Struthio camelus: one gene and its partner. The protein of the gene in region 2 purifies or fractionates together with the protein of the main gene of each other region. This does not show direct contact. Links are inferred from orthologs where the notes say so. Each region holds a gene or a part of one and is shown on either strand. Other genes may lie near its edges.

The links. The genes of interacting proteins can lie anywhere in the genome.
Region 1: the proteins of SAE1 (region 2) and SUMO3 purify together in Homo sapiens (affinity purification with mass spectrometry; 3 studies listed by BioGRID and IntAct, with this or other methods). This does not show direct contact. The link is inferred for Struthio camelus from reciprocal best matches to the Homo sapiens genes SAE1 and SUMO3.

What each region holds. Positions count from the first base shown.
Region 1 is NC_090950.1:3,427,952-3,437,552, reverse strand, and holds the start of SUMO3 (small ubiquitin-related modifier 3), read left to right. Parts: upstream 1-6,008; 5' UTR 6,009-6,181; coding exon 6,182-6,202; intron 6,203-6,952; coding exon 6,953-7,081; intron 7,082-9,011; coding exon 9,012-9,083; intron 9,084-9,601. Other genes in the region: PTTG1IP (pituitary tumor-transforming gene 1 protein-interacting protein), read left to right, coding at 1-40, 1,662-1,705. UniProt on the Homo sapiens protein: Ubiquitin-like protein which can be covalently attached to target lysines either as a monomer or as a lysine-linked polymer. Does not seem to be involved in protein degradation and may function as an antagonist of ubiquitin in the degradation process.
Region 2 is NC_090957.1:305,529-315,219, reverse strand, and holds the start of SAE1 (SUMO-activating enzyme subunit 1), read left to right. Parts: upstream 1-5,256; 5' UTR 5,257-5,328; coding exon 5,329-5,429; intron 5,430-7,940; coding exon 7,941-8,052; intron 8,053-9,691. Other genes in the region: ZC3H4 (zinc finger CCCH domain-containing protein 4), read right to left, coding at 4,487-4,647. UniProt on the Homo sapiens protein: The heterodimer acts as an E1 ligase for SUMO1, SUMO2, SUMO3, and probably SUMO4. It mediates ATP-dependent activation of SUMO proteins followed by formation of a thioester bond between a SUMO protein and a conserved active site cysteine residue on UBA2/SAE2.

The DNA.
Region 1 (9,601 bases), on a different chromosome or scaffold from region 2:
GAGATGAAATCAAGACATGATGAAATCCGAAGAAAATACGGTACAGTGGCTTATGCTAGCAATTCAAACTAAGGTTTAGATCTAGTGATCTCAGTAATTCTGTATTCCTTGCTATGGTTACAGCTACCTGGGATGCATGGCCAGCAGGGAAAACACCAGCTTCAACTCCCACATCTCACTGAGTTGCTCTGGTGCCCTCTGGGAGCAAGTCTAGAGATGCTCTGGTTTTGGCTTGTGATCTGACACAAGTACTACTTGCTTTGTGGGGCAGGAAAGAGGGACTGTTCAACCCTCCATGGAACCTGTGTCCTTTTAAGATGCTGAATGAGAGAAACTGGTGGGTGTGACAGGAGAGGAAAAGCAGAAGCTGGTACATGTAGCAGTAGCCATAAGCTGCTCTCCTTCAAGAGTGGCCTTGCTGGGTGATCACAGGACCGCAGAAGTAGGGGAGCCAACAGCATGGGTGGGGGGAGGGGGATAGATGGGAGCTTGTGGTGTCCTACAACCCTAACGCAAAGCAGGGTTAGGCAAGAGCCTGGCCTTCTGCATTTAGAGAGTAAGTCTCCTGTGCAAGCAGAGAATTCCTATGAAGGTAGCTTAGTCCACCCTGAGTTTCGGGGGACTACATAGACTTATGGGGTTGCACTATCCTTCAGGCATTGCTCCAGAGCCGATGGAAGTATCTCTACTGCCTGGCCGTCTGGGCCTGTTCACTAGAGAGCTGCCAAGTGCCCTCCCAGTGTGTTGCATGTGTGGCTGCTGAGTGCAGAGTAGTCTTGACTCATGCACAGAGAGTGTAGTGGTCTCTGACTTCAGGGGCGGGGGGCCTGCAGGGGAAAGCTAGAAACCCTTTCTCCATCTCTAACTGCTGCCTGCTGCAGAGCCAGGTTGGGTAGAAGAACGCAGAGGGGTTTCTGACTGGGCTGGCTTCTGTGGTGTGAGGCAGAGCAGGCAAAGCTGTACCCGAAGGAGGACTTCGTGGAGAGACACCTACACTTGGAAATGGAAGAGCCACGCTCCACTGCTGTCTTGCCATGCCAAGGCTTTGTCTTGCTGCAGCCTGGCTGCAGAATTTGCATCCTGAAATCTCTCCCCTTCTGGCTGTGTTCTTCCTCAAAGGTGTCGGGGCTGGGAAAGCGGCCAGCAGAGTGGCTTGGTGACAGAGGTTTGTTACTGTGGCTCAAAGTCAGGCTTGTGTTCCTTGCTCTGTTCTCTGCCATTCTGTGGGAATATGTGAGCGGGGAATTGCTTCTAAGAATGGCTTTAATTTGACTTGTGATGGGTTTGGACCTTTCGCTTCCACGTCCAGTCCAACAGATAGAGCATGCAGAAGGGACTCTCTGAAAGAACAGTAGTGCTGCTTTACATGGACTGCTATGAAAGGAGCTGGCCATCAGGCAGAACTTCCTAATGGATCTCTGCTGTGCAGAGAAGGAGAACAAAATGTGTTGGATACAGCTGACTGCATGCAAAGCTCTTCACAGCTCAAATAACAGGTTTGGCCTCTCAGAAGGGCACCAGTACGTGCAGCCTTAAAAGACAGGAGGTTAGATGATAACAATTCTTTGTTATTTGTGCTGGAAGAACTAGACTTGCTGCTGATGGGAATGGAGCGCCTAGTAAGCTCCTGGATGTCTGAATGAATCTCTCTTCTCTTCTAGGCCTGTTTAAGGAAGAGAACCCTTATGCAAAATTTGAGAATTAACAACATCCCCTGATCTGCCCAGCACAGATGAACAGTGCCCTCCTGCATAGAGCCACAAGGACTCTGGATTTCACCTACCAAAAGCAAATCACTGTGATGCCACTTCCTGCTTCCCTTGCCACAAAAGATGCACCAAATGCTCAGTGACACCGTTATCCCCGCTCTGGATACTCAGTTTGCTCCAGTGCTTTGCTGTAGTAGTAAGAGCAAACTGAGAAAATGAGCCTTGCTCTTTTTTCCATTGCAGTGTCTGGAGTACCCTCTGAAGACTTGCTCTGTTTGTGCAGGGGCAATATTGGAGAACTAAACACATGAATATTTCTTCTCACTCACCCCTGGGGTGCTAATTTAGTCCAAAACAATGCAAATAACTGTCCTTGTCCCCTGCCAAGGGCAGAAACAACCTTGTGCTTCTTCCTTGCTCCTTCCTCACTAAGTATCTGCTCACATTGAGTGAGACTCTCCCTCTTCCCTCCCCCTGGTGTAGGTGAGAGCTAGCAAGGGTTACTTGACCTGTTGGTCAGAACAAGGCCTTAGCTGTCACTCCAAGTGCCTGTACTTGTCTGTGCACGTTAGCGTTCCTTTCAAAAAGCACAAACTTGTGATTATCTTGGGCCTTCATGAGAAGACCCCGCTTGCACATTCTCACTTAGAGCTAATCTGGGGAAACTCTACAACTCTTCTACCTCTCTGTGCCTTTCCAGATCTTCTCTTGGGCTTCTGACAGCCAAGGCCGATAGCAATACTGTAGGGTTCGGATGCAATTGCAATATGTTGGCTGTGTATTAAATTGATTTGATTACTACTCAAGTCTGAAAGAATTTAATTCTGCTTCCACGTGAAGTATAGCTTGGCAGACGCTGCTGATAACTATTCAACAGAGTCTTCACTGTGTTACACTGCCCTGGCTAGGGCAGTCTTGCCCTGCTAAGCTGGCTGATGGAGTGCAGTAACAGAGTCCAGTTTCTTGGACTTGGTTCTCTGGGTCTGAAACTAGAAGTCAGTCGGTTCCAGATGTATGTTAGGAGTGTCCTGGAAAAGTCAGGTGGTGGGAGGATGAGCTGCTTGCTATGAAATGAGTTAGGTCTTTCTGAGAGAGCTTGAACTGTGTCTCATAACACACTGCTGGCTGGAGTAAGCTGGGAAAATGTTCAGATCCTCCCCTCTCTCCTGAGGCTTGCCTAAAATGCTTGATTTGAATTACTGAACTTACGGCCCTCTGGTCTTGCGGGACACAGTTTGAGCTGAACTCTGGACTTGTTAAACTAAACCATCCGTGAAACCATACTTTTCCTGAGCTGTGCTGTGATTGCACAGAGCTCTTCAGTAGGTGCAAGAATCTGACTTGCTTTTGCCAGGACTGGACAAAGATGTAAGACTTGCAGGTAACTTTTAATCTAGTCTGTCTTTGTGTCTGTTGCCAAAAGATACTCTGCTTCAGATGATGGAAACAGTACGTGAATGACTCGGCCAGTGCTGAATGAATCTTGGTATGTGAGCTGAGTTCTTGTTACTGTGAACTAGGCTTCAGAGAGCAGCACCAGAAGAAGGAGGGCTACAAAGAGTAGAGTTGGGGTTGCCCCGCTCTTACGGGTGCTTTCTCTTCATGTTCTGTCCTAGTCCATTGGATTGGCTGGGTATGAGGCAGCGGGTGCCATGGCTGATGGCTGCTCTGTCCTGGGGGTGATGCAGGCGGTTTTCCCAGTCTTGCCCTTGGTGGGGCTGCAAGGCTCCTGTTTGCTCAGTTCATCTTGGCCAAGCTTGGGAGAGTTCAAGAGCCATAAGTCCTCTAAGAGCTGAGGAGGGAGGAGGTGACAGGAAAGTGTATCCAACTGTGCATGTGTGGGAAATAATGCCTTAAGAAATCCTCTCATGCCCTGCACTTGATTTGAGAACTCCTTGTACAACCTGTCTCATGCTCATGGAAACCCTAAGCATGGGGTCTGGCAAGGGCAAGTGAAACAGTTATGAAGATCCTGGTTGTCACTTGTATTTAATTGGGTATGCTGGTCTGGAGAGGCTTTGGTCCCCCAGCATACAGAGGGGTCCAGTTGGTGCTTTCTTTAGTAAAGAGCAATATATGGAAGCAGCTGATGCTGAGCTGTAGGGCTGTGTTAGCGCTGCAGGTATTGAGTCCAGGGTTTATACGTCCTGCCTTTACCTCTCACAGGTTGTGATGGGCTGTGTCCCGTCCCACTGAGCCAAGCAGTCCCTGCTGGGTTGGGTGGGTGGGAGGCAGGTGAGACCCCTGAGGACTGGGACTAGTATAATCCCTGTTGATCTGCAGTGAAGTGGGGCCTTCTGGGCTACCCGAGCGCTTCCACTGATGCTGCCCCCCTCCCTCCTGATTCCTGGCACCCAACAGTAGTGCCTCTGAAAACAGCCGGGTTAGAGAGAGGAGCCTGGCTACAGGGATCCTCCAGGTATGGAGTCCTCTACCCAGGCATCATTACCTGCTCTGTCCTTGTCTGCTCCTGTCTGCACAGGGAACTGCCCTGCACAGGGAGCCGCTTCCCTGCATGGATGAAGCATAACTGCTTTCTACAGTTCACATGTGTTGACGAGCAGATGGCCTGACCTCCTGCCAGGAGAGCTCTGGTCATCAGTGTCCTGTCTGACTGCAGCTGGGCAGAAGCACTGCATCCTCTGTGCTTGTTCTGGGCTCCAGCCTCTCACTCAGAGGTGCTCTCGCTCTCGCTCTCTCTAATAGCCTGTGATGGAGCTCCAGTTAATTTTTTGATTTGTTCTTGTGATTGTTGCTGTGTGGATGTATCACATGGCTGACATGAGGCTGAGAAGCTGGCAACCCCTTTGACTCAGATGGTTGAAGGTGAAGAGGTGAAGCTGGGCTGCTCTGGGCCGCCTGCCCAGGTCTGGAGGAGGAAATTTGCCTGTACGCACGCCCGTACGGGAACCGCCCTGGCAGGAGCATGTGAATTGTCAGCTGGATGTGGGGAGGGGATCGGGGCAGGCTTCAGTCAGTTTGCGCTCCTAAGCAAAACCAAAACCCTCTTCTTGGCTTCAAAGCCACTGGAAGACAAAACACCCCTCTTGGTCCCCTTTGCCTCTGTAAAGGAGAGGGAACTAGCAGAATGGGATCTGTTTGTCTGGGGAAAAAACGTCTCCTAAATGTGGTGCTTTACAAATAGGGAATGCAAAGTTGAGGCTGCAGAGTGGAGCCAGCTGTCTGGGAAGGAGCCTTCATGAGGATTAATGAGTCCCTGCAGAGAGGCCTCTGCATGCTGGTGGGGCTTGCCGTGCTCTGGGGCTGGGGGGGGACATCAGCGCAGAGGGGGAAAGCAGTTTGGTGAGCGGCGTATCTGATGAGTGAGAGCTCGCTTCGCTGAGCGCAGCCTGCCTGGCCAAGGATGACGTGCGCTTGGGGAACGCGTTGGGGGGGCGGGGGGGAAACAGAGGAGGAACAGATTAAAAGGGTGCAAAGGGCAACTTGGCTCTGAGCCAGGGGATGGTCATACCTGTGCAGTGGTGCAACTGCTGCCTACAGGACTGCCCCGCATCAGGAAACGCGCAGGATGGAGCTGGTGCCGGGCTGAGGGGCAGGGCAGGGCAGAGCGGGCAGCTGCGGCCGGCAAACAAAGGGCTGCCCTGGAAGGGATGGGCGCTCTTTCATAGGAGAGGTGGGTACTGGAAGGGACAACCGACTTCCTGAAAGTAATTAAAATACCCAGATAAAATCTGGGCTGCAGGTGAACTCCAGCTCTGTGAGCAGTGACGCGCGGGGCCGGCCAACAGCGCCGCTTCCCCCCCGCTCCGTGTCACCTGGGCTGTGGACAGCAGGCACCGCCCGAGAGGCTGGAAAGGGTCCTTCTCCGCGCACACAACCGCTGCGGGGCCGGGGCATGCTCTTCCTCCTTCCATCCCCGCTGACCCTGGGGGAACCCGCCCGCCCTGCGGCCCTCCGGGGCGGGCAGGGCACAAGGCGGGATCCCCCCCCCCCCCAAAGCCTGGGGCTGAGCTCCGGCCCACTCCAAAACCGCGTCTGTGTGGCACCGCGGGGCGCCCCCCCCCCCCCCTCCGCCGCCTCAGCGCGGCCCCGAGGCGCGACCGGCCCAGCCGCGCCCGCCCCGCCCTTCCGGCGCCCCGTGACGCACTTTCCAGAGCCGCCTCGGGCCGGGCGCGCGCGCGCGCCGCCGCCTTCCCCCCTCCCCGCCCGCCGAGGGGGCAGCGTCCTCCCGGCGCGCGCGCGCGCGCGCGCCCATCGCCTCCCACGTGACCCCGCGCGGCGGCCAATCGGCGCCCGGGGCTGCTGGCGGCGGCGGCGGCGGGGGGTGGGGGGGGGGTGAGGTGGGGCGCGCGCGCGCGTGCGCGCGCTCTCGCGGGCGGTTGGCGGCGGCGGCCGGCGGGAGCCGAGCGCGCGGGCCGTTCCCCTCAGCGCGCGGGCGCGCGCGCGCCGCCTTCCCCTCCCTTCCCTTCCCCCCGTCCCGTCCCGTCCCGTCCCGTCCCGTCCCCGCCGCCATGTCGGAGGAGAAGCCCAAGGTGAGGCGCGGCGGACCTGGCTTCCCCTCCGCTGTCCCGGTGGGCCGCGGCCGGGCGAGGCCTGAGGCGGCCGGAGGGGGGAGGCCTTCTTCGGCGGGGGCTGCCAGGATGGCGGGGCAGGGTGTCCCGGTGAGGGCGACGCTGCCCCGCCCCGCCCCCGTGACCGGTCCCCCCACGCGTACACCCGGGGTGGCGTGAGGGGGCCAAGATGGAGGGCTGAGCGGGGGGAGGGGGCGGGGAAGTGGGGTCCTGCGGAAGTCCCTTGAACTTCGCCGCTGAGTGGAAACTGCAAAATCGGGGGCTTTCCTGAGGAAAATTGTTCGGTAGTACGGTCGTTCTTATCTGTGCAATGCTAGGAGCGTGCAGAGTTCGTAAACAGGGAAAAAGTGAAGGGAACGTGAGTGGAGTTTGTACGGCTGCATGTCTCTGCAGTTCATTTTCAGGGGGCATCCAGGTAACAGAAATGACCTCTGTTACCTACAGAGGTATGTAGGTGTGCTGGGATTTGCTCCGTGAAGTTTTTTGCTTTTCCCCTATTACCTGAAATGATGACTGCAAAACCGTGCAGGTTTTTTTTTTTTTTTAACCCCCCCCCCCTCTGTGTGCTGTGGAGAGCATCCTCCCTTTATAAACAGGAAGAAAAGCTTCTGGTGGTTGAGAGCTTTGTTACTGTTTGTAATGGAGCCTTTAGATCACTTTTATTCAAAGCAGTGCTCACTGTGTTCTGCCTTTTTGTCTGTTTTTGTTCAGGAAGGAGTGAAAACAGAGAATGATCACATCAATTTAAAAGTTGCTGGCCAGGATGGTTCTGTGGTCCAGTTCAAAATAAAAAGGCACACACCTTTAAGCAAGCTGATGAAGGCTTATTGCGAGAGGCAGGTATGTACATCAAACACTGCTTTTGCAGGTTATGGTCCGGTTCTGCAGAGGGTTCTTCATGCTGCTTGGGACTCTTATCATTTCATAAGGAAGAGCCCTTGGCAGTATGGAAATTCCACTGTTTTTCTTTCTGGAACATTATAAACATCAATGCATCAGAGAGTGAATATGCCTGTTTGTACAGAAGCGCAAGAGAGTAAAGATTTAGGATGCTAAGTCCAGACTCCTAAACTTAACCGACAAAAAAGATTTTAACGCTAGAGTTGATGAAAGTCGCCCCTTCCTCGCTGTGTGCTTCTGGATTTCTAAAATCTTCCCATGACGATACCAGGAGTCAGAATTTCTTGAGTTCCGATCTTAGCTCAGACTGATTTTCTGTGGGAGAGTAGGAATCTTTAGCTTCCTAACCCACAGTTTTATTATCTGTAAAATCTTTATTGACTTTATACAGTATGTATATGTATTTTCCGTTTGGAAAATGGCAGGAAAACAAATTGTAACATGCTGTGACGTTTTTTGTTTACAAATTTTTTTCTCCTCCCTTCACCTACCTTCCCTTGCATGCTCCACAGCTTTGATTGCTGTACTCTACAGGTGGCAGGAAGCTGCTTTGTGTAGGAGACTATTCTTTGGTGCTGTCCCCATTTATATGGAAGTGTGATTTACCCTGATAGCCTGCTTCTCGAGTCTGTAGTTCTGAATGTTTGAACTACTTCTACACCGTATTAGGTGGCACAGAAAATGAAAGCCGTTCGCGTTCCTACCCTTCCTGAAGTGGAGTGAAATTTTGTTTGCAGGCATCGCCGTATCTAATATATGTGGGATCCTTTCTTTGCTCACCTGAGTTGTATGTTCTGCCCTCTCATGCTTGATGGAGCAAAATGCCACTCAGGTTGGGAACAAGAGCTACATACAGTATCATCTTGAGAGATGCATGAGGAATTTTTGCATCTGTGCGATGGTGGTATGCGTGATTGGAAACATGTCTGAGTAGCACAGGGTTTTCAAAGGATTTTAGAGGTCAAAACAAAGACGTAGATCACTGAGGCAGGGAATAAAGACTGTATCATGTAATTCAACGCTGTCATAACATGATTCCCTTGTGAATTCAATGAAGATTTTAAAGGCAGCGTTAACCCACTGAGTTAAGTCTAACACTTAAAAGCCCTGGTGTTTTTTCTAATGACTTTTCTAAGTAAAGATCTGCATAAAGGCCTGCAAATTTTTTTCCCCTCAGACAATCTTTGCTTCATGTTTCCTTTTCTTTATCAGAAGATTAAAGAACTAGAGTTGGGAGAGGATGCCTGGCACGAATCAAAGTCTTGCGACTTAAATATGGGTAGTCAGTGTTGGTAGTTAGTTGCCCAAAAAGGTAGCTATTACAGTTTTTTGGCAGCATTTTCTGTCAGATAAGCTTAAAATACTGTTACTTCTCTGACTGTGTAAGAAACAATTGTCCTTCTTTTCTGTCCTGTCTTTTGAGACTTTCTAGAATTGTGTTCTGGTTGATCTCTTCTATATACTTCCTGTTGATATTTTTTTTTCCTTCGCTTTACTCTTTCTTCCTTTCTGCCGTTCTTGAACTTAAATGTTGCTTTTTTGCTTGTCAATGACTTTTTGATATTTGTAGTTTGCAGAGCAGGGGGTACTAGAATTTAGATCCGAACCAGGTGCCAAACAAACACCTGTTATTTCATATAGTGCCCTTGCTGTGGCAATAGCTGCCTTGGGAAATCAATCTAAATAGCTCTACTATTATCTAAATAGCTCTGCTTCCGTAATTTGTGTAATAAGATAGAGGAGTAAGTTTCCTGTCTATTTAAATCTTTTGAGTCTTAATTTTGTTAGTATCTGACAGTAGGTGAGTAAATGTTATGTTTGGATTCAACAATTAATGAGACACCACATTTTTGTTACTGTAAACTTGCAGGGCTTGTCAATGAGGCAGATTAGATTCAGATTTGATGGACAACCAATTAATGAAGCTGACACACCTGCACAGGTATGACCAAAAAACCTTCAGTTTTATTGCAGATTGCTATAAAAATGTTTTGATTGTCTGCGCATAGATCAAAGTATTTCAGAGTCATTTTGATTGCAAAACTGTTGTCATAAGCTTAATACATTCCAAATAGTTGCTCTAGGCTGGCATATTTTTTCCTTTGAATCTTTTCACTACTGGTGGTGGCGGCATTGGTGCTGAAATAGCCGGCACCTGAGTAGTGCTGGGACTCTGTCTTCCTACTTCTGCTTCAGCGTGATTTGAGCAATTATTGCCCCTAAAGGCTGCTGTTGCTGTCAGCACTGGTAATGCTGAGAACTTGGGGAATTTCTTGCATTGACAAGGCCTGCAGCAAGAATAGAAGAAATACACTTGGCTGAGGAGCTTTGCTGTAAAAGATGCTAAATTGTTGAGTTTGGTCTCATCAACAAGTGTGCTTCTAAAACCTGTCTCAGTCTTGGTGATACTCTGATAAAGACAGAGGAGGTTATGGGATTATATTCTGCATGCAGCTGGCT
Region 2 (9,691 bases):
AAGTAACCTACACTTCCAGCTAAATGTCATTAATCACACACGTAATGCTTCAAAAACGGCTTAGCATTTGCAGATACCAGAACTGTACTCCCCCACTAACTTCCTTTGCTAAGACAGAACACGTTCTACCAAAGAAAGCATCACACCTGCACGCTCCTAAGCCTCACCTACAGAAAACTGTCCAGAGATAGAGCTCTTCTTTCACCAAAACACTGACACATTCCAGAATAACCCCAAAGGAATTGGAACTAAGCTGAACCTCTTCTTTGCTCCATCAGTGTGGCCATCTCAAATTTTATTTCAAGTGGAAATCAGGGAAAAATACATCCACCAAGAAATAAAAGAACAACCACTTTTAAGATAGCAAGGCCTCCAGAATGAGGCATACTGTGTTATATACAGACTGTTTGGACTGGGGCAGAAATCATTACAATTTATCAGCCTTTTTTAAAGCTATCTTCTACTCAGTGTTCTTTCATTATGGGACATGTATAACAAATATGTTCTATCAATTCACTAGAAAGGAAGCTTTGAGAGACATCCTTCTAGGCCGCTTAAACCTGAAATAACTTCTGACACGGACACTTCTAGTCTGCAATCAAGGCAAATTCTACTTTTATGCCCCTAAAAAGCCCACGTTTTTTGAGAGACATTTATACTAAAGGAAAGTTTCAAGCAGCTATTTAATCACAACTCAAGATTTATTTGGGAATGTGCTTGACTCAACTGCTAATTATTAATGCCATTTTTGTTTGGAAGTTGGCTCCTTCCCATTCCTACTTTTGGATCCTTCAGTGAAATCGTAAGGCTGAGCTGTGACGTCCTTTTCACTGCCACTGCAAGGCTGATGTCACAGAAACGGATATGTCAAAGGTACTGAAAAAGACACTTGGTCTGGGGTTTGCTTTAGCCATTCTTTAACTAGCACAACAAAGCCTGGCTACCAAAGGAGCAAGGCAGAGGGCAATACCTGGCTCAGCACAGATGAGAACCCTCACACTGACCTCTCTAGGTCTTCCGATTGCAGCTGAACAATTACAGATTTAAAAAATGCCCCTGAAAAAATTCTGGCATGCGCTTAACTTTACTACCAAAAGATGCTCTGGTCTCCACGGAACTGTTCACAGTACTAATGTTAAATACATGCCTCTATTTTTGCGTGATTAAAAAGGTAATCGCTAGCAAATCTGGAGTACTAAAAATGGTTCTGCCTAACTAAAAAAGGGACAAGAGTAGCAAGATACTAGAAAAAGAAACCCCAACCAAGTTTAGAGATTTGACTCCTCTTGCTAATATTTAACTATATAATAAAAACGTATATTCACTTTATGAAATTGCTTAGCCATTCCTCTAAACTTGGAAGTACAGTCCCTTAGCACTTCTGACATTAGAGCAGTTCCTGGGTCTTTCATACAGTTATACTACACTCCCTCAAAAAGCAGAAAACTAACCTAAAATTTTCCAACAGCCTACTTTTTTTCTATTTCATCTGCCCTTTCCAACTCATCCTGACATGCATAAAAATTGCTTATGACACTAATCAGCAGCTGACAGTGAAAAACCATTTGGGATTTTGATCGTATCAAGAGTGGAAGTATAAAGCACAGCATGTATGTACATTTAGTAAAATAATTTAGAGGTTTAGCAGAATAAAGCTACTAATTGAATGCATTAGGGAAAAATCCATGCTATGAGGCCCCACTCTTTCTGAACTACCAGAGCTAAAAACTTTTTGGCCAGGCCAGTAATATTTTCAAGCTCTGACGGTGGACCTTTGATGAAAGGAAAAAAAAATGTCAAGCTTTATGACTTCATGGCAAAGTTAAGCTGTAGAAGGTGGATCAGTGGATCATAAGGGAGAAAGGTCCCACTATAAACACTTAAAATAGTAACAGAAAGGCATAAAACTAAAAGACATCACTGGATATTGTTTTATGTTTACTGCAGCATGAAAACCCCTTTCTAAAACACAATAAAATTTGTAACAAAAAGTCCTCTACTTATTTTCTATAACGAGTGCTTGCATTATTTCATAGTCAAGGTTTTAAGCAGATGTATACACTTTTTTTTTTTTTAGTGAATGAATTAAAAACAAGAGGGAAACAAAACAGTACAAATTCACACAACTGTGTTTGTGTGCTTACAGGAAACTAACATCGCTTCTTCCACCCGTGAAAATGTAAACTGGATGAAATACTCCAGGGCAAAAGTGTGTGTTTTTGCTCTACATGAAAGAATAACCTAAGAGTCAAAAATAATATGCTGAGGGGAGAAAATACCAAATACTGTGCATGGTGTTCTTACTTATATTTTGAATCATGTAAAGAACCGTGAGGAACAAACTTGTAAGAACTTTTCATAACACACCTGCTTAACAAAGGAATAACAAAAAGAAAAGTAGAAGAAAATCCAGGACACTAAAGAGATTCTTACAAACTGGGTGCTTACACTGTACGTTGCTATTTGTCCTGCTTAAACTTCTCTAATTATCAAATATGAAACTGTACATGGGGATGGGGGAAAAATGTGTGATGACATTTGGGAAACAGTGCTTTCTTTGCCACCTTTTTTTTTTTTTTACACACTTCTGAGTTTGTTAACAAAACTTTTTAACAACTTTTCTGTTTTATGGGCAGACCTGCACCCAGGGGTAGCCTGTTTACTGTCAACGTAATGGAATGAGGATGGAGTTTGTAGACAAAGTAATGGATCCACATCCTATGTCTAGATGGCACCAAGGGTCAGAGTGGTATGACTTTTACTGAGGTATCTCAGTGCTACTTCACCAGGAAACGTCACAACAGACATATTTTGGAGTAAATTGTGTGCTTTTGTGACTTTTTTTTTAAACACTCACACTGGCAGGGTGCACAACTCTATATCAGTCAAGTCATTACAAAGGGGGAGAATTCTGCTTGGTTTGTACACACATTGTATTAACTCATTCCTTACATGAAACGTATCCTAAAGATGATCTCAGGACGTTTTTTGGTGCGGGGGAAAGAAACAAAAAGGTATAATTTAATTATTCAATAAAAGAGAATACTTACCAACCCAACCCTGCATCATAGGAAAAACAAAACTCCTTAGAGACAAAGGCATGCTAATGTATAAAAGCAGCTCTCTGTACCGCACACCTGCCTTCCAGGGGAGTGGGAAGGGGGCAAACCTCTCTTTTTTTTTCAGACAAACATATATGATTAAGCTGTTTATTTTTGTGCACTACACAATACTTTCTGGCTATAGGGTTTCCAATAAAAAAGTGCTAATAAAGTCTAATAAAGGAAACAGCTGAAGTTATGTTTTGGGGGGAGGGAGAAGGTGCTTTACATACATCTCTGAGGAAAAGAGGAAAGAGGGTTTCCTGGGGGATTTTAAACTTTTCAATACCTTGACATAATGGGACCACTTGAGATTCCAGCTGTGGAAGTGAGTCTTTCTATATAAAGGGGACGAGGGAGGGCAAACAAGGGTATCACTACTCAACACATCCCATACCATGCCAGTGCCTAGAAAGCTCCACATTGCAACCCCAGCGCCTTTCTGCCCAGGCCGCACTCCCTAATGCCCCAGCATAGCCAGGAAATTTTAAGAAGCAGCTGAAGACAAAGGGGACATTAATGAGGCCAGTGCTGCCCAAGAGAATAACGTCATTAAAGACCTCATTAAGGACCCCAGAAAGCCTTCCCCTGACCCTGCCCAGCAAGTGGGGACCCATCCCCTCGCAGCCACCCCCAGCCCAGGCTCCCTGCTCCGGCCCTCAGCCCCAACTGGGCCTGCTGCCCACCAGCCCCTGGCCTGCTCCCTCATCACGCCCCGCTGCCTGGGGCCCCCCGGCCCTGCGCTGCCCCCGGCCCCGCGCCCCCACCGGGCCCCTGCCTGAGCCCCTTCCCCTGGCTCTTCCCAGCCTCGGCCCCCTCCCCCCGGCCGCCTGGCTCTTCCCAGACCCGCTCCCCCCCCCCAAACCCCCTGGCTCTTCCCAGATCCTCTCCCCCCCGGCCCCTTCGCTGTTCCCAGGCCCTGCCCCCCCCCGCCCAGACCCCCGGCTGTTCCTAGGCCCTGCCACCACCCCCCCAAGTCCCCCGGCTGTTCCCAGCGCTGCGCTCCCCCCCCCCCCAGCTCGCTGCCTGGCCCCAGCCCTCGCTCTCGCCCCTCTCCTCCTCCTCGGCCCGGGCCCTGGGGACCCCCCGAGCGCTCCTGCACACTCTCGCCCCCAGCCCTGCGCCCCCCGGCCGGGCCTACCCCCCTGCCCGCCTCGGGCCTGCACCCCGCTAAGCCCTGGCTCCCCCGCTCACCTCAGACCCTGTCCCCCCGCCCGGGCCGGTGGCTCTCGGGCCCCGAGGACCCCCCCGCCCCGGCTGGCCCCCCACCTCCTCCCGGTCGCCCGCGGCCCGTCCCTGCCCGCCCCCCCCCAAACCTGGTCCGGCGAGCCGGACAGACAGACACAGACAGACAGAGAGGCTCTCGGGAGAGGCGGTTACTGGACCTTTCGTCCGGGCCGTGGTGGAGTTGGAGCGGCGGCGGCGGCCGGGGGAGGCTGCAGCTGCCGCTGTCGTGGTGGTGGCAGGACGGAGATGGGGGGGTGGAGTGCGGGCTGGGGGGGGAGGCGGCGGCGGCGGGGGGGACACTCGGGCTCTCCACGGCCATGGGCGGGGGGGGAGAGGGGGGAGCACACGGGGCACAGTCACTGTACAGAGCGGGGGTCGGCACGGCCCGGCTTTCCGCCTGCCCCGCACTCCACGGGAAGGCACACAAAATGGCGCCCGCCGGCACGCAGCCGCGCCGAGGCAGCGCCCCACACGGCCGCCGGAAAGGCCCGAGCGCCGCCGGAAAGGCCCGAGCGCCGCCGAACGCCCTCCCCCCTCCCCCTTCGCCGCGGCACGCACGGCCGGACGCGGAAGCAGCCGGAGGTTGCCGAAGGATGGCGGAAGCGGCCGAGCCGAAGCGCCGAGGGGCAGCGGGAGGAGGCGGAACTTTCCGAACGCAGCCGAGCGCTGGCGGAAAGTGCCGAAGAGGTCGGGCAGAACCAAGTGCACCGCGGCGGGAGGGGGGGGAGCTGCGCGAGTGAGCGCGCGAGAGGCGGCGCCGAGGCCGAGCGCGGCGGCCGCCCCCCCCGCGCAGGGGGCCGCTGAGGCGGGACGAGCCCTCGGAGCGGCTCTCTGGCGGGGGGGGATACGGGCGGGGCGCGGGGCGGCGGGGGCCGCTCGGCCCGGGGCGCTTCCCCCCCTCCCCTCCCGGCGCGCCGCGGTGCCGGGCGCCGCGCAGCGCCCGCGCGGGCCGCCAGGGGGCGCCGCCCGGGCGCGGCGGCCGTGAGGCGGCGGCGGCGGGATGGTGGAGAAGGAGGAGGGCGGCCCCGGCGGCATCAGCGAGGAGGAGGCGGCGCAGTATGACCGGCAGATCCGGCTCTGGGGGCTCGAGGCCCAGAAGCGGTCAGCGAGGCGGGGGGCGGCTCGGGGGAGGCTGTAGGGGCCTGCGGGCGGGGGGGCCCTTGTAGGTGTCGGGGGTCCCTCAGCGCTTGGGGGGGGGCGGCGGCATTTGGGGGGGCTGTATTGATTTGGAGGGGCGCTGAATGGGTTTGGGGGGGCTACAGCGTTTTGGAGGCCCCTGCAGCATTTTGGGAGGCTCTGTGGGGGTTTGGGGGCTCTACAGCGGTTTGGGGGGCCCTGCGTGGGTTGATGGGGGCCTTGCAGTATTTGGGGGGGCTCTGCAGGGGTTTGGGGGACTCTACAGTGTTTGAGGAGGCCCTGTAGTGGCTTGGGGGGGCTTGTATGGGTTAAGTGGTCCTCACAGTGTGTGGTAGGGGCCTGTAGGGGCTTGGGGGGGACCCTAATGCAGTGACCGCAGTTACTGTGGGGTATCTGCAGGAGGTTTGCAGGGGCTTGAGAAGGGTCTGTATAGCTGGTGGTGTGTATGGGGGCATGCGAGGTCTATAGGAGCCTGTGGAGGTCTAGAAGGTCTCTAGAAGTCTCAGGGCTCTGGGGAGCTGAAGAAGGAGGAGATGGGGTTGGGACAGTAGGAGATGGGGGAGGCAAGGCTTGGGGCACCTGGGAGAGGGGTTTGGGGAAATGGGGGCCCCAGGAAGGAAGCTGCCAGTTTGGGAGGCAGTGGCTGGTGTTGCAGGGGGTGGCAGGGTAGCATACGGGGTGGGAAAGTGGGAGGAGGTGCTCAGGGAGATGGTGGCAGAAGGGCAGGAGAAAAACCCTGTGGTGGCCCGGCGTGAGATGTCGATCTTTGTGCTGCTGCTGGCACCCTGAGAGAAGTTTTAAACCTCGTCTGTGGAAATCCTGGGCAGTTGCCCTGCTTGTGCACGCATCACACATGTAGGACAGTGTTGACAGAGATGTGGGAGCCCTGGCTAGCAGCTGCCTGGGAGACTGCTTGGTTCTCCAGCCACACACAGTCGCTGTGCAGCAGGCTGGTGAGAGCTGTAAGCTGTACCCCTTTGTGTGTCCCTAGTTCCTCACAGTTCCTGCACAGTTCAGGCTGGAAAATCTTACCCAAACTGGAGCCCAGTGATAATGCACGTTTGGTGAAAATCGTGCCTCCTTAGGTTGAAGATAACAAAAATATTGACCGTATCTACAAGAGAGTCTGATCCACTACTTAGTTTCTATTGTTAAAGTCTTCTCATTCATTCCCAGCTGGGATTGCCGAGCATCTGCTTCCACCTGCTGGTTCTCTGCTAAAGAGCCTCTTATTCAGCCCATATCTTCTCTGTGAGGCCTCTTCAGCTTTCAAGTTATCTTTGCAGCCCTTTACTGCAGCCTGTCCAGGTTTCTGCCAGCTTTAAATTTCTTAGATGTTACCTTGAAAATAGCAATAGTATGTGTATGGGAGAAGATGGAGCGGACCTGAAATAGGGGCACAAATATAATGGTGCTGCTAGATGCAGAGTGAAAGCAAGCATGGAAATAGACCGTGAGGCCAAAAAGCACCCATCAGTGACCTCCTGACTTAACTGACCTACATGATAGAGCCACTCTATTTAACACTCTGGATGATTACTTATTAAGGTAGTCTAAATAAACTTGATTTTGTTAGAAAAACAATGCAACCTAGTCAATCAAAAGAATGCTAAGGAAAAAATTATTTAAATTGATTTTAAAAAGCAAGGAAAGTCAGCATTCAGCTATTCTGAGAACTTAGAAATTGCATACATTAACTTGGTCTCATAATAAATATTTGCAAAGAAATAATTTCCATTAATTATATCATGCTATTAATTTTATATATATCCCAATCAGTTGGCATGTAACCCAGTGCACCTTCAGTGGGTGAGGTTGAGGTCCAGGCCTCAGCTGGACTATTAGAATTTGCTATTAGGAACCTCAAACTGTGGTGTTGTAGTGAACCTGTGAGTCCACCCCTTGTTCTCTGAAAAGCAATACGAGGCCTTATCAGTGCATACTGATTTTAGTCTCTCTTTCAAAGCTGCAAATAATCTATTTTCTGTGAATTATCTGGATTACTGACGCCCAACAGCTCCCATCTCTCTTCCTTTTCTTCCGTATCAGGTATCGTGGTTAAATCTATACCTCTACTCTTTTCCCTGATGCTGCTGTGAAACTTTCAGGTCCTGCCAGACATGTTTGGCTCTCCTGTAATGATCCTGGGCTTCTCCCATTTTGCCTGGGCCAAGTGAATATTTGGCTGTAGCTCAACTTTCCCCACGGTTCAGGACTTCTGTGAATGCCCAGCATGCATATCTGCCTCCTTAGTTAAGTTTTCCCAACTGGGAGGTGATGGTGATTTCGGAGGCAGTGGTTCCATCCCTGGTGGCAGGGATGCTACTTTACTAGCGCAGCTTTCCTCTTTGGTCATTGAATGTATTTTTCACCCTGTTGTGTTTTGTCCGTGAGCACTGTGGTTGATTCCCCTTCTCCCTGGGGACGTGGTGCTCCAGTGAAGCCGTTAACGGTGACCAAGTGTTTCCACTGCAGGTTACGAGCTTCCCGGGTGTTGCTGGTGGGGATGAAAGGCCTTGGAGCAGAAGTGGCAAAGAATCTCATCCTGGCAGGTGTCAAAGGCCTGACCATGCTGGACCATCAGCAGGTGGGAGCTTCAGGCTTCTCTCTTCCTTGTGGCTGCAGTGCTGGCCAGTGGGGGGTGAGGGGATGGTTAGCAAAGCTCCCAAAGCCTACTGGGGACTGGTAGGTGTGTGGAGGGGGTAGGGTGTCTGAGCTCGAGGACTTCTTCATTGCTTACTGGAGTAGGGGTTTTGTGGTGGGGGTGTGTGTATGTGTATGTCTTTGGGGAGGGGGTATAGGGGGCATGTAGTGTCTGTAGAGAGAAATCCCATACCCGTGCACTTTTAGTCATTGGTGCGCCTCCTTATGACAAGCATGGAATTAAATTTGAGAGAGGCATAAGCAGACTGTACTCATCTGCACTCTGTCAAGCTGAGGGCTGAGCTGCAGGCTCCCCAGTTTCTCCCCTGCTATCTTGCCTGCAGACATGTGGCTGTGTACCCTGATCTGAGAAGCCTGTTCTCATAGTCTCGCGCTTATTTCTGGGAGTGTGTGGCCTTTCTCTAGCAGGTCTCCACCCAGGCCTCTCCCCTCTATCTTGGTCTGAACAGCCCCTTTCTGTGTTTATCTAGGGCTTTGCAGGTGTTTAACAGACTGTAACAGTGTGTGAAAAGCAGCTAGGGCTCCGCTCGTGCCTCGGATCGTGCCTCGGATCGCATGGAACCCGGGCCTCTAAATAGAGTCTGTGGTTGAGCGTTTAGTCTGCCTCTGTCAAATGTGCAGCAGGTTTCTATTCGTGGTCCAGAGCCTTGTGCCCTGCAGTTCACTCTGCTGTCACAGGAGATGGGAGGCCCAGGGATGACTGAAATTGGTAGGTGCCGCACAGCGTACGAAACCCTCCTCTGCGTTTGGAAGAGGCGCAGGCAAGGATGTGTAAGGTGCTCAGGGAGCCTTCAGCAGGGTTTGAGGGATGAGCATTTGAGGGATTTTGTATGCATAGTGTTTCTGGTGCGAGTTTGTGGCAGTACTGGCTGCTCCAGGGCCAGACAGAGCCGGGGGGGGGGGGGTTGTGCAGGAGCCTCAGTTGCGGCTGCTTGTTTTTCCAGTGAGTGCAGCCGCTAGGTCGCAGTGCCGGACTGCTGCAGCCGTGGTGCCCGCTGTGGTAGCTTGGTGTCTCCTCGGGCACAAGAGGGAGCTCTGAGCTCAGGAGCGGGCGAAGTGATCTGCAAGGTCTGAGAATCGGCCTGGGAGCAAGGAGTGCAAAAAATGTGAGGGTGCTGCCTGCTGTTTGTCCTGCCTGTTCCTCTGAAAAGCGGACGTGGAGACCTCTGTTGTTCTTGAAGCAGAGATGAATACTTGGTGCAGTTGAAGGGTTATGAAGGGAGAACACGTAAGGAGGGATCCAAGCGGTCACTGTGCAATAGTATCTGCTGGAATGGTCCCATCTTAAAAACCTCAAATCTGCCCTTCCTTCCTGGAGAAGGCAGTGGTCCTATCCCTGGATCCTTCCTCCTAATGAGACTTTTCTCTGGTTATCTTGCAATGAGCCTTTTAACACTCCTGCTGCAAGGATAGCACTGGTTAGCTGTCCCTTTTCAGCTATGTGAGTTCCCATTTACAATGTATCTGCTGTAATTCTCCTGTGGGTGTTGCTGCCCTGTGTGATTCTGGGAACAGTTAACAGCACAGGGAAGACTCATCTCTCTCCATTTTCTCCTATTTCA